Schizosaccharomyces pombe: one gene and its partners. The gene in region 3 interacts genetically with the main gene of each other region. Each region holds a gene or a part of one and is shown on either strand. Other genes may lie near its edges. The genes, in order: nnr2, ubp2 and mug124.

What was found.
Region 1: mutations in mug124 (region 3) and nnr2 together harm fitness less than expected from each alone (positive genetic interaction), as found in Schizosaccharomyces pombe (one large-scale study listed by BioGRID).
Region 2: mutations in mug124 (region 3) and ubp2 together harm fitness less than expected from each alone (positive genetic interaction), as found in Schizosaccharomyces pombe (one large-scale study listed by BioGRID).

The regions. Positions count from the first base shown.
Region 1 is NC_003421.2:1,442,543-1,446,299, reverse strand, and holds nnr2 (NADHX dehydratase Nnr2), read right to left. Parts: upstream 1,812-3,757; 5' UTR 1,648-1,811; coding exon 664-1,647; 3' UTR 418-663; downstream 1-417. Other genes in the region: SAGA complex subunit Spt3, read right to left, coding at 2,375-3,298.
Region 2 is NC_003424.3:3,485,251-3,489,007, reverse strand, and holds the start of ubp2 (ubiquitin hydrolase Ubp2), read right to left. Parts: upstream 1,815-3,757; 5' UTR 1,684-1,814; coding exon 1-1,683. Other genes in the region: hrb1 (RNA-binding and mRNA export factor), read right to left, coding at 2,506-2,952, 3,034-3,426, 3,525-3,626, 3,666-3,757.
Region 3 is NC_003423.3:1,685,557-1,689,313, forward strand, and holds the start of mug124 (protein mug124), read right to left. Parts: upstream 1,687-3,757; 5' UTR 1,650-1,686; coding exon 1,212-1,649; 3' UTR 1-1,211. Other genes in the region: fructose-bisphosphate aldolase Fba1, read left to right, coding at 2,811-3,757. UniProt on the Schizosaccharomyces pombe protein: Has a role in meiosis.

The DNA of each region.
Region 1 (3,757 bases), on a different chromosome or scaffold from region 3:
CCATGTTCTTTCTTTTTATCTCACATTTCTTTTTTTCAAATTAAATAGTAACATTTTTAATTGATAACGCATTTCAATATTCCATATTGTCAATTATGACTTTCCAAGAAGAAAAACAGTAGAATGAAAATACAACGTTGAGGTCAAGATAGGAATTGATTAATAATCTAGATATCTAAATCGTAGAATATTAGAATTTAACTATTATATGAAGGTTTGAATTGGTTTCCGAAGCTATTGTCGTGCTCATAGATACATCGTCTTATAGTAAAACTTAGGAACAATACTAATTTCCGTTAAATTTGATAATGTAAATAATGACAATTACGAATCAAAAAGAAGAGTCTGCTTGCCCTTGTCTGTTACAATAAATAAAAACGGTGACAGCTACATCAAATTTCCTCAACAACAATGATACCAACGACTATGCAATGTTTATTTTGAACATGGTTTTTAAAATTAAATACGCTATTTCATTAATAATCTGGTATTTTCGTTTCAGTCATTCCTAGTAACTAAGTTTAAGGTATCCCTTTGCTTGGGAATTTGAACCAAGACTTGAAAACATGGTAATAATGTCAATTCCAGGGAACAAACAAGCAAAAAAGTCAATTATTAGTTTAAGGGTCCTTTATCTTCTTGGTTTTTAAATATTATTTTTTTTTAATCTTTTATTTTTTCCTCGACAGACGGTATCTCATCCTCCATTAACGCATTATACGCTTTACCCACATGTCTGACCAGGTCAGTTGATTGAGTTGCACGACCACATTCCTTAAACGCCAAACGACTGCACCAGCGAGTACAGGCAGAGGCTCCAAATGCGGCAAGGAAGAGACATTCTTTAGCATCCATATTACCTTCTGTATCCCATTCTTTGCTAAGATAAGCATGTCTCCAAGCAAGGAATGTAGCAAGTATACCAGTTAAAATGTCACCCTGACCACCACAACGTTTAAGACCACCAGGAACGGAGCAAGCATATGCAGTAGCGCCATCGGAAATAATATCGGATTGGCCTTTTTGAATGATGAGCAAATTTAGTTTGCCAGCTAGCTGATTGCAAGCATCGGGTCCGTCACTCTTAATGTCAAGCTTGTCGCAAAGTCTTTTGAACTCAATAACGTTAGGTGTTAAAATTACATTATGATAACCCGAAACCAATTCGGGACGTTGTTGAATTAACCACAAGCCATCAGCATCGATAACCATAGGCATATCATTTTTGCGCGCATACTCAATTACTTTGGCCATAATCTCTTGCATCCATTCATCACGTCCCAATCCAGGCCCAATTACGATGGCATGCAATCTTCCCATCATGGGCTTTATAAGTTCAAAGCATTTATCGACACTATCTTCTGGTCCAGCTTTGTCCTTTTCACGTAAAAATGGATGAACAATCAGATCAGGAGAATAGCTTTTAATGACATTTGCAGCTTCTTTTTCACAAAATATGTGGCTTTGGTCACTGCCGAAGAGCATCGACGACATCGAAGAATAGTACGGAGCACCTGTGTAGTGCTGACAACCCCCAAAAACACCAACTCGACCGGCTTGACCTTTGTGGAAGGTATCAAGAAGTGGTGGAATGATGCGCTTCACACGAGTCAGCAAATTTGTAATTTTGGGAGATCCAGATGTCATGTTGTAATCTTGTTGAGCGAATTCTTCGGATAGCAAAAAATTATAAAGAATTACAATTATAATAAATCAAAAAGTCTTTAAAATTCCTGAATTTTGTATCTCTTAAGTACTGTGAGTGCTTCGGAATACGAATGTTCGGTTATTCTTGGAGTTGGCGTATGTATGATGTTAAGGTGGAAGGTATGATCAAAATGACGCTCAGTGATGAAGTTCAAATGTTCTCGAAAACAAAAAAAAAACGTAAAGAAACCCTTTGTTTTTTAAAAATTTCGCACTGACGATATCAAAAGGATGATCCCCTTGTTCATTACGAAAATCAGCAGTTTGTATAGAGTAAACGAAGTTTGGTAAGAAGATTTGCAAATATTCACAGATATCATGAGATTCCAGTATAATAAGAAAAATTTGATATTAAAAAATCCAAAAGTCCAAATACTACCACTGCTGCAATTAAGAATATCGCTTAGTGGAAAGATAGAAATAAAATTATGAATTCAATCGGAGATGCAAGACAACAGTCTAATGTGATGAAATATATTGAGTAGTTAATATCTCCATAAAGTAAAGGGGCTTTCGTAAGATCTAAACCATATTGTTTCAAGGAGAACCAGTAATGGGGATAATAACATATACGTACCTAGTATGGGTAATTACAGGAAAACAGGGCATTTAGATGTAAATGGAAGCCTTACAGCAATTAAAAAAAAAGAAGAGACAGTGAAAATGATTAGATAAGATACACACGAGATTTGACCAAACCCCCATGAAAACTGCGCATAGCAGTATGAGTTTTATCGGGGATTTGCAAACGACGAAAAGCTTCTAAAACATGAGAAACTTGAAGGGGAGTTCTCCCCTCAGTAAGTCCATCAAATAAACTGCAATTTTTCGGATGATGCGCTGCATGAGAGCCTCCACTACCCGAGCTATTTTGAATCCGATCCATTCGATCTTTCACAGCCAGTGCTTCCTCAGTTAAGGTAGCCACAATCTCAAAGGTCAAGAAGCCAAGTATATCTACAATATCATTATCAGGGCGAGTATCTGTTAGAATAGACATGCCACACCATTCACGAAATCGCTTGCCTTTTCGATAAGTAAAACTGGCTTGTCGACATTCACTCCAATGAACATACTCCTCACGCGTCATTTTCTTCGTGCGTTCATCTGCCATTTTAAGACGTTGTCGCGTCGCATATGCCATTTCCATCGTATCGTTATCTTCTTCAAACTCTTCTGTTTCCGGTACAGGCTCTGTAAACATATTTTTTACTTCCCAAGGCATAGCAACTGCATTCATTGACCTTGTTTTTGAATCTACTTCCTCAAAAAGATCTTTTGTATCGGCAGGATTGGCATCCTGCTCCTTCGCTTTCTTGCGCACTTCCTTCCATGACAGGTATGTCTTTAGTCGATTCACCTTTGCACGATCATGGCGAATTAAGAAAAATAAATCTTCCACAGTAATAGATCTTGAGCCACGTCGTAAAGCTAGCTCATTTGCCTGAATTAACATCTCCATCACTTGTCCACGTATTAGCTCTTCGACTAATTGTGTGGTTTCTGGGAGAGGATCCTGCACCTCCCCTAGAATGAACATCATTTGTTGAATTTCAACACGATATTTACTGGTTCTGCCAGTCTCAGTCATTCCGCATTGCTTATTTTTAACCACTTCCCAAAGTGGTGGGTAGTTGACAAGTTGCTGAACTCCAAACTGACAAGAAAAATATAGTTTCCAGTAAGAAGGACTAATTGATGGGGCATAAAGTGCTTTAAGTTGAAAAAGAAAAACCATTGTCAAACGTTTAGCTTGCAAAAAGCAAACAAATTTTATGAGAGCTGGATACACTATCCAAACTGCAAACCCAGTCCATTCTTTCGTTACAGAACATCCAGTACAACTAGTTAGTGAAGAAGTGTTATTAGAAGAGTAACTCCTGTCTTTTTTTGAAGCATAGGTTTATTAATTTAAGATTGTAAATGTTTGAAATTTTTTACCTTCGTAACTTGTTTACTTCCGTTTAAAGTAGATACTTGAGTAATCTATAAAGTGAAAAGCATCAACTTTCTTTGGTCTGAAACTCTCTTTTGCTAGATCATTCATCTT
Region 2 (3,757 bases), on a different chromosome or scaffold from region 3:
TACATTGATTAAAACGTCATCTGATAGTGCACGATCTTGAACACCTAATGTGTTGTAAGCTAGATCTTCATCCATAGGCACTTCTTTAGGCTTCTTGTTGGAAGGTCTACCTTGTGAAGCCAAGAAATCGTACAAAATGGAGCTATTTCTCTCTTCAGCTATCCATTTGACGGCCTCGATGGCTTTGTCGCTATCATCTTCAAATTTCACTAAGGCCACAGAAGCTACCATGGCGTCCTCGGTGTTAGACTTAATGCCCAACCATTGGTAGGCTTCATTAACCGTATAAAAAGCCTGTTCTGTAGACAAAACATAATTTAAAATTTCAGAACTCTTTCTTGCATAGCCAATAGTCTCCAAATCGTTCCTAATAGCTCTGGCAAATTCAGGTTTTCTTAGGAGGGCAGAATGAAACGCCTCAAAGATTTTTTCTTGACTATACCTGTAATCCGGGCCTACCTCAGCTTCAAGTCCTAAACTCGAATAAGCGGCTTGTATTACATCGCTCGACACGATTCCATTTTTCCTATCTGCCGCAATTAGATCTCTCAAAAAGCTGCTTTTACGTAAATTGTATATATGAGCAAGCGCATCCGCATAAACACGAACATTAGCTTCATCGTTCTTTTTTTGTTCCTCATAGAAATAACGGACAAAGCTGTCTGGATAATCATTCGTGATACCCAAGGCTATAAAAGCAGGATCATCAGGTAAGGAGGCCGAATTGTCGCGAAAAACTGTGGTATACATGGGAACCACGCTATCATAGTTAGGAACGCCAAAGGCATTAATTAAAGCAGGTCGAGCCAACCTAACGGGAAAAGGGTTAGCAACAATAGCCGGATCTTCTTTAGTGTCACGAAAGTGATTAGCCAAAACAATAAGTTCATTCCTAGCAAGGTATAGATTAAGTTTTTGTTCGTCAGTAAGGGGAGCGTCCGCAATGGTAGGGACATAATTTACATTTTCGTGGTGATATTCAAACAGAAGAGATTTCATCAAAGATTGAATTTGGCGGCCCTTTCCGACATGTCTCTCAAAAGTTCCTTCCGGGGCAGCGCTAATGGCACGTTGATCGTTATGGACCAACACGTTTCGTAAAAACAACTCCAAAGAAGTAAATGTAGTAAAAAGAGAAGGTTGGGATGAATGGGATGACCCTTGATGAGATGACGATTTTTTAGTTAAAAGGGAAGCAAATGATGGACGTCGGGAATCAATTATCTCTTTGATACAATTAGCATCAAGATAGCTATCTCTCCATTCAACTTCAATTTCACTTTTTGTTGTTTTGCTACTCCATTTCATACAAGTAGAGGTAGTAGCGAATTCACTTTTCGTAGGGCTAGTCACATGAGGTTCAGGTAATTCCTCTTCTTCGTAGTAAACAGGAATCCTATCTTTTATTCCATAATTTTCTTCAGGCTCTTCAATTAATGGCTTCCCCCTGTCTCTTCGGACTTTCACATGTAAGTGTTTGCGAGTTTTTTGACAAACACACCAAAAGTCATTCTCGTCAAATACAGCGGACTCGCCTAAATTTGAATGAAGCTGCCAGTGATATCTTGAGCTATGAGGACTCCAAGGATCATTCCATCCAGCTGATGGACTATCAAAGACGTCTAAATCTTGAATCAACCGATTAGGACTTTTGCCAATTCGCAAGTTCTTTACAGTTGCCATTCCTCTTTATAGTTTGATGTAAATAATTTTAATAAAGAAATTTAAATTTTTTATTATGAAAAATACTTGAAAAAACGTCCAAACGGAAAGAACGTACAGATTGAAGGATTTTTCATGAGTAAAGGACTCGGTAGGTAGACTTCATGCGTATGATGCTTGTCGTCTTACATATGCCAGCCAGGTATGCGACCATCAATTTTATGAATGTGGGGAATAAGATAGAAGTAAATGTTTGTATTTCATTGATAAGGCTACTAAAGAAGGTAAGAAACAATCAACACCTACATTTCGCTATACGAAATTTACCATTATGCTTAAATAAGATTTTTAACCTAAATACACCTTACTTTAAAAATAATGTAGTTAATCAATAAAGATTAAACTTGGTTAACTGGAAGTTAACAGAATGGAAGTCTAAAAATCTAAAATATCATTAAAACCATGAAATGGTTAGCAATTGTAAAAGAAGGAAACTAGGCATCCTGTAAAAAAACAGTAAAGCTAAAATTAAAAAGACTTCAATTAGAAGAACGAGAGACGAATATATATGCCATCAGCATACTTTGGTGTGTCACGGAAAAGAATAAGATCTTAGCAAAAAATTGAAATCAAACAAAAGAGATAAATCTATAAACATGGAAAATAAGAATATTTGGGGATTAGGAATTAAAGCAAAAATTTGAAGAAAAAATAGAGAAAAGCAAACAATATTAGGATAACTGCCTTAGAACATTGCGCATGTCGTCACTGAGCTAGCCATTCACACTACGGAAATGTGCTTAATTGTAAAGAGAAAAGAAGTTCAGATGTATTGGCGAATTTTTAAGAAGGCTCCAAAGAATGTTCAATATTATTTTCGGGTAAAGCTACAGAAATAGGAGCAATAGCGGGCATGTTTGCAACGGGCATTGAAATCGGTAGATAGCCTAAGAAAGAATTTGTAAAAGATTGGGGCGTTAGTGGTGAATTCGTTGTAGGGATATGCATAACAGGTGGTGTATAAGCGACTGAAGGAAGACCCGAGAGCACAGTAGGGACAGCAGGTAGTGGAGTCGCATAGTGAGCGTATGATAATTGCAAGGGTCTCCCGCCATAACGATAACCATTTAATTTTTCAATTGAGGATGCTGCATCATTTTCATTCTCAAATTGAACGACACCGAAACCTTTAGATCGGCCAGTGGGCTCATAGGCGATTCGGGCACGAATGACTGAGCCAATATCTGTGAATAGGTCCAATAAATTGCGATCTGAGGTGGCCCAAGGTAACTATATTCAGTCAGTAATCTCCAAAAAAAACTTAAAATGATGCGGAAAACTAATCCCACAAAAGCGTCCTTATATACATACATTTCCAACGTAAATGCAATCCGAGCAGGGTCCATGGGGATACGCATGATAAACTAAATCCTCGACTTGAGTATTAGCACCTAACATGGGTAGATAGGTGGATGATGTAGTCATTTGCATTTCCGCTGGAAACGTATAGCCATTTCCATGAGTGGAATACGGCTTACTTTTATGATGTGCAAACCGATCTAGGCGAACTTCTAAAGTGCGGCCCATGAAATCAGTGTTATGCAACATTTGAATGGCATGCATGGCTTCTTTCATCGAACTCATGACAACAATCCCAATGCCACGGGATCGGCCTTCTTGGTTCATTTGGATATCAGCTCGGATAACAGAACCAGCTTGTCTAAACAAATCCTTTAAATCTTGCCAGCGAACGTTATACGGTAACTATACTCGTTAGTACCATTTCTTATTTGCAATTCCACAATTCATTAAAATACCAAAGTTCGAGGAAAAGAATATAGAGGATTAGAAATTGAACTTACGTTACCAACAAACAATTGCCTGTCTGGCTCAGAATCTTTGCCATTCGACGACGCGCTAGGCGATACTGAAGAGGAGCCAAATCTTGCATTTTGTTCTCGATCCTTTACGAAGGTTAATAAGCGACATAAAAAAAATCTTACTTCACGGATATAAACAAGACGGCCCATAAATTTTTGGTTGCTCAGAGTTTTAATTGCCGTGCGCGCTTCTTCAGCAGTAGAGTACTCAATTA
Region 3 (3,757 bases):
TTTGGAAAGGAATAGGGAACCTTTTTCTCATAGCTTTTTGGGGTATTGTACGGAATGCATCATTACCATCATCCGTACACCACAGGAAGAGTAGCGATGGCAGGTGGCATGTTCCGGTAAGTTATGTTTGGGCGAAACCGAATGCGAGACCTTTTAGGCGAGATGAAGATGGTGAGATGGTGAAACAAAAAGGTTAATTTGCAGGGAGAAAAAAAGGTTAGACGGAGGGCTGGAAGAGGGATGTCAGCTTGAGTGAAGAGCTAACAAGAGCGGAAAAGAATAGAGAGGCAAAGGAAGAACACTATGGTTTTGTTTAGGGAATAAGAATATGAAGTTGTAGTGCATATATAGTAAAGGAATGGAAAGGAATGAGAAAGATAGAGTGGATAGATGAATGATGAATGGATGAATAGGTGAATGAAGTGGAATATGTATTTCTATAAAGAATGCTAGGAGTAAAGGAATGAAATAGAAAGGATTGGGTAAGAAAAAGTGTGTGTATGTATGAGTGTATTAGTGAATGAGATTCTGTGCAAACGAAAAAGTAGGATAATAAACTTAATGGATGGAAAATCAATTACACAAACTATGCTGTCTACTTAAAAAAATAAATAAATAAATAAAACCTACAACTCGACAAACCATGCTATCAAATATAAAAAGTCTACAGGCTGTACCACATAATGTGTTTATATATGTGTATATTGTGCTATGAGATGTACTTGTACATAGCTGTAGTTACAACTTGGATATACGTGCTATACCTATTATTTAGTAGAGCGTGCAAGTAAACATATTATACCCTAGTCTTTTAACTCTCTCTATATATTCGTTACGACGACGCTTTGTCTATATGTTATCCTCGATGTGTTACGATGTTACAAGTTACACTGCGTTATGCTACTTATCCAGCGTCTGCAGTCTTACTCTTTCTCTCTCTCTCTCCATTTCCCTCTGCTCTCCCTTTCATTTCACAAGCCCACGTTAACCTCACATAGCCCGCTTACAGTGCATTGCCCTACATCGTTATATCGATGCGTTGCGTTGCCAAAGAGGCGAGGAACAATATTCGTCAAGATTTTGCTTATCTCTAACAACAAGAGTTTATCCGTTCCAACCATTTCCCTGCGGTAATCCAATTGTTATCCGTAGCGAAGGGTTCAAGTGCCGCTGACATCAACCGAGCCCATCTAGGTAACGAGGTATATCGGTCATCGTGTCGGGGTTGCTAAATAGGAATGGTTGCCTTGCAAATCGTTACCTGACCAGAGCTGCAGCGAAAACGTAAACAAAGCGTATGTACGAAGGAAGAAATTGGATGGAAAAAATGAATCGACAAAACAAGGCAAAGCGCAACTCCAAGCAAAGTGACACATGACCGAGCATGAAAACGCAATCCAATGCAATGCCACACATACACTCAGAGATGCAATGCCACGACGATGGAATGGACAATGCAGACCAACGATTTTGAGCAGAGAAATATTAGCTTGACATGATGTGAGATGGGTGGAGATGTGGAATGGAATGGAATGAATGGATGGACATGAAATGAAATTTACCAAGTAAACAAGAGAGTTAATAATAGTAAGAATGATTTGTCTCCTAGTCTCAGCAATAGCAACACTTGACAGTGACTGCAGTCTCATACTCTTCTAGTCAAGTCTCATCCTCTTCCACTCTCTCAATTCCTTTTTATCAATGTTTCTTCCTCTTGTTATGTACACAAACGATGATCTCTTCTCTCACCTCATTGCTGGACTAATATTACTCGTGGCCAAGCGAAACACAAGTGGTACTAGATAACCAAAAAATGATAAAGCATTCAATCAATCAAACCACTTACGAAATTCATACTCCCGTAAACGAATGCCGGTCGGACGCATGGAAAATCATCAATACGTGAGAGAGCTACTTAGTTGTGCACTTTGTATATGTCCAAAAATACTTTTCATTTCACATACCTGCTTGTGTAAAGACAGTGATGAAATGCGGTGCAAAGTGTCTATTCTTACATTGATGGTAAAGCTAATTCAAGCATGCTTGGAAGAAGAATTGCCTTGCATTTCTTGATCATTTGACCCAGGCGACAACTATAAAATAAGAATACTACCGAAGATGCAGATGGGGTGTGTGGGCACAACACCATCGAACCGAACCGAGACGGCCAGACTGTGATAACAAAAGAAATGCATTAGTTTAGTTGGCTGGTTCAAGTTGGTTGAGTAGAAAAATCCATCACTCAAACTGGGAAGTAGGGATGGCTGGGAGAATGGAGAAGCGAGACGAGACGAGACAAGACAAGAGGAGATGAAATGAAATTAATGAAAAGAAATGAATAGAAATGAAATAGACATATGAATAGTATAGGGCAGGTTAGATGTTTGTATTTATAAATGTTTAATGCTTAGGTTTGTATTTATGTTTACGTTGGTAATGTTTCTTTTGTTTGTGTTTGTGCATCGGGTGAACGAGTTGGTTACCGCCGCCGCCGCTTCCTTTTGCCTTGACACACACCACGCAACGTGTTACGGTTCTTGAACGGAATTGCGTACTTCGATGCAGAGCGCTATCGGGGGGATTGGGGATGGTAAATGGAAGAAATCAAAAACTTCTTTTGACGTCAACCCCTAAAACAGGGGACGGTGATTGGTGGTAACCACGGACCGGATAGGTATCGATATGCACATCAGGTGAGAAGTTTTTCCGAGGCCAACTCCGGCTCCATGGTATATAATAGAGGGTTGCGCGCTACTGTTGCAGTATCATACTTCCAAAGGTCGTATAGAACACACACACAAATTAGCAAAATGGGAATTCTCGATATTGTACCTACTGGTGTTATTACAGGTGACAACGTTTTAAAGTTGTTCACCTACGCTCGTGAGCACGGATTCGCCATCCCTGCCATTAACGTCACCTCCTCCTCCACTGCTATTGCTGCTCTTGAGGCTGCTCGTGAGGCTCGTTCCCCCATCATCTTGCAAACCTCCAACGGTGGTGCTCACTTCTTTGCTGGTAAGGAATCCTCCAACGAGGGCCAAAAGGCCTCCATTGCCGGTTCCATCGCCGCTGCCCACTACATCCGTTCCATCGCTCCTTTCTTCGGTGTCCCCGTCGTCATGCACTCTGACCACTGCGCCAAGAAGCTTCTCCCCTGGATGGACGGTATGTTCGAAGCCGATGAGGCCTACTTCAAGATTCACGGTGAGCCTCTTTTCTCTTCTCACATGCTTGACTTGTCCGAGGAGCCCAAGAAGGAGAACATTGCTCAAGTTAAGGAGTACTGCAAGCGTGCCGTTCCCATGAAGATCTGGATCGAGATGGAGATCGGTATCACTGGTGGTGAGGAAGACGGTGTCGACAACTCTCACGTCTCCCACACCGAGCTCTACACTCAACCCGAGGACATCTGGGATGTCTACCGTGAGCTCTCCTCCGTTACCCCTTACTTCTCCATTGCCGCCGCTTTCGGTAACGTCCACGGTGTCTACAAGCCCGGTAACGTCAAGCTCCAACCCGCTCTTTTGGGTCAACACCAAGCCTATGTTAAGGAGCAACTCAAGACCACCAACGACAAGCCCGTTTTCTTCGTCTTCCACGGTGGTTCCGGTTCCTCTGTCAACGAGTTCCGTACTGGTATCAAGTGCGGTGTCGTCAAGGTCAACATTGACACTGATACCCAATTCGCCTACGTCGAGGGTGTCCGTGACTATGTCTTGAAGTACAAGGACTACCTTATGACCCCCGTCGGTAA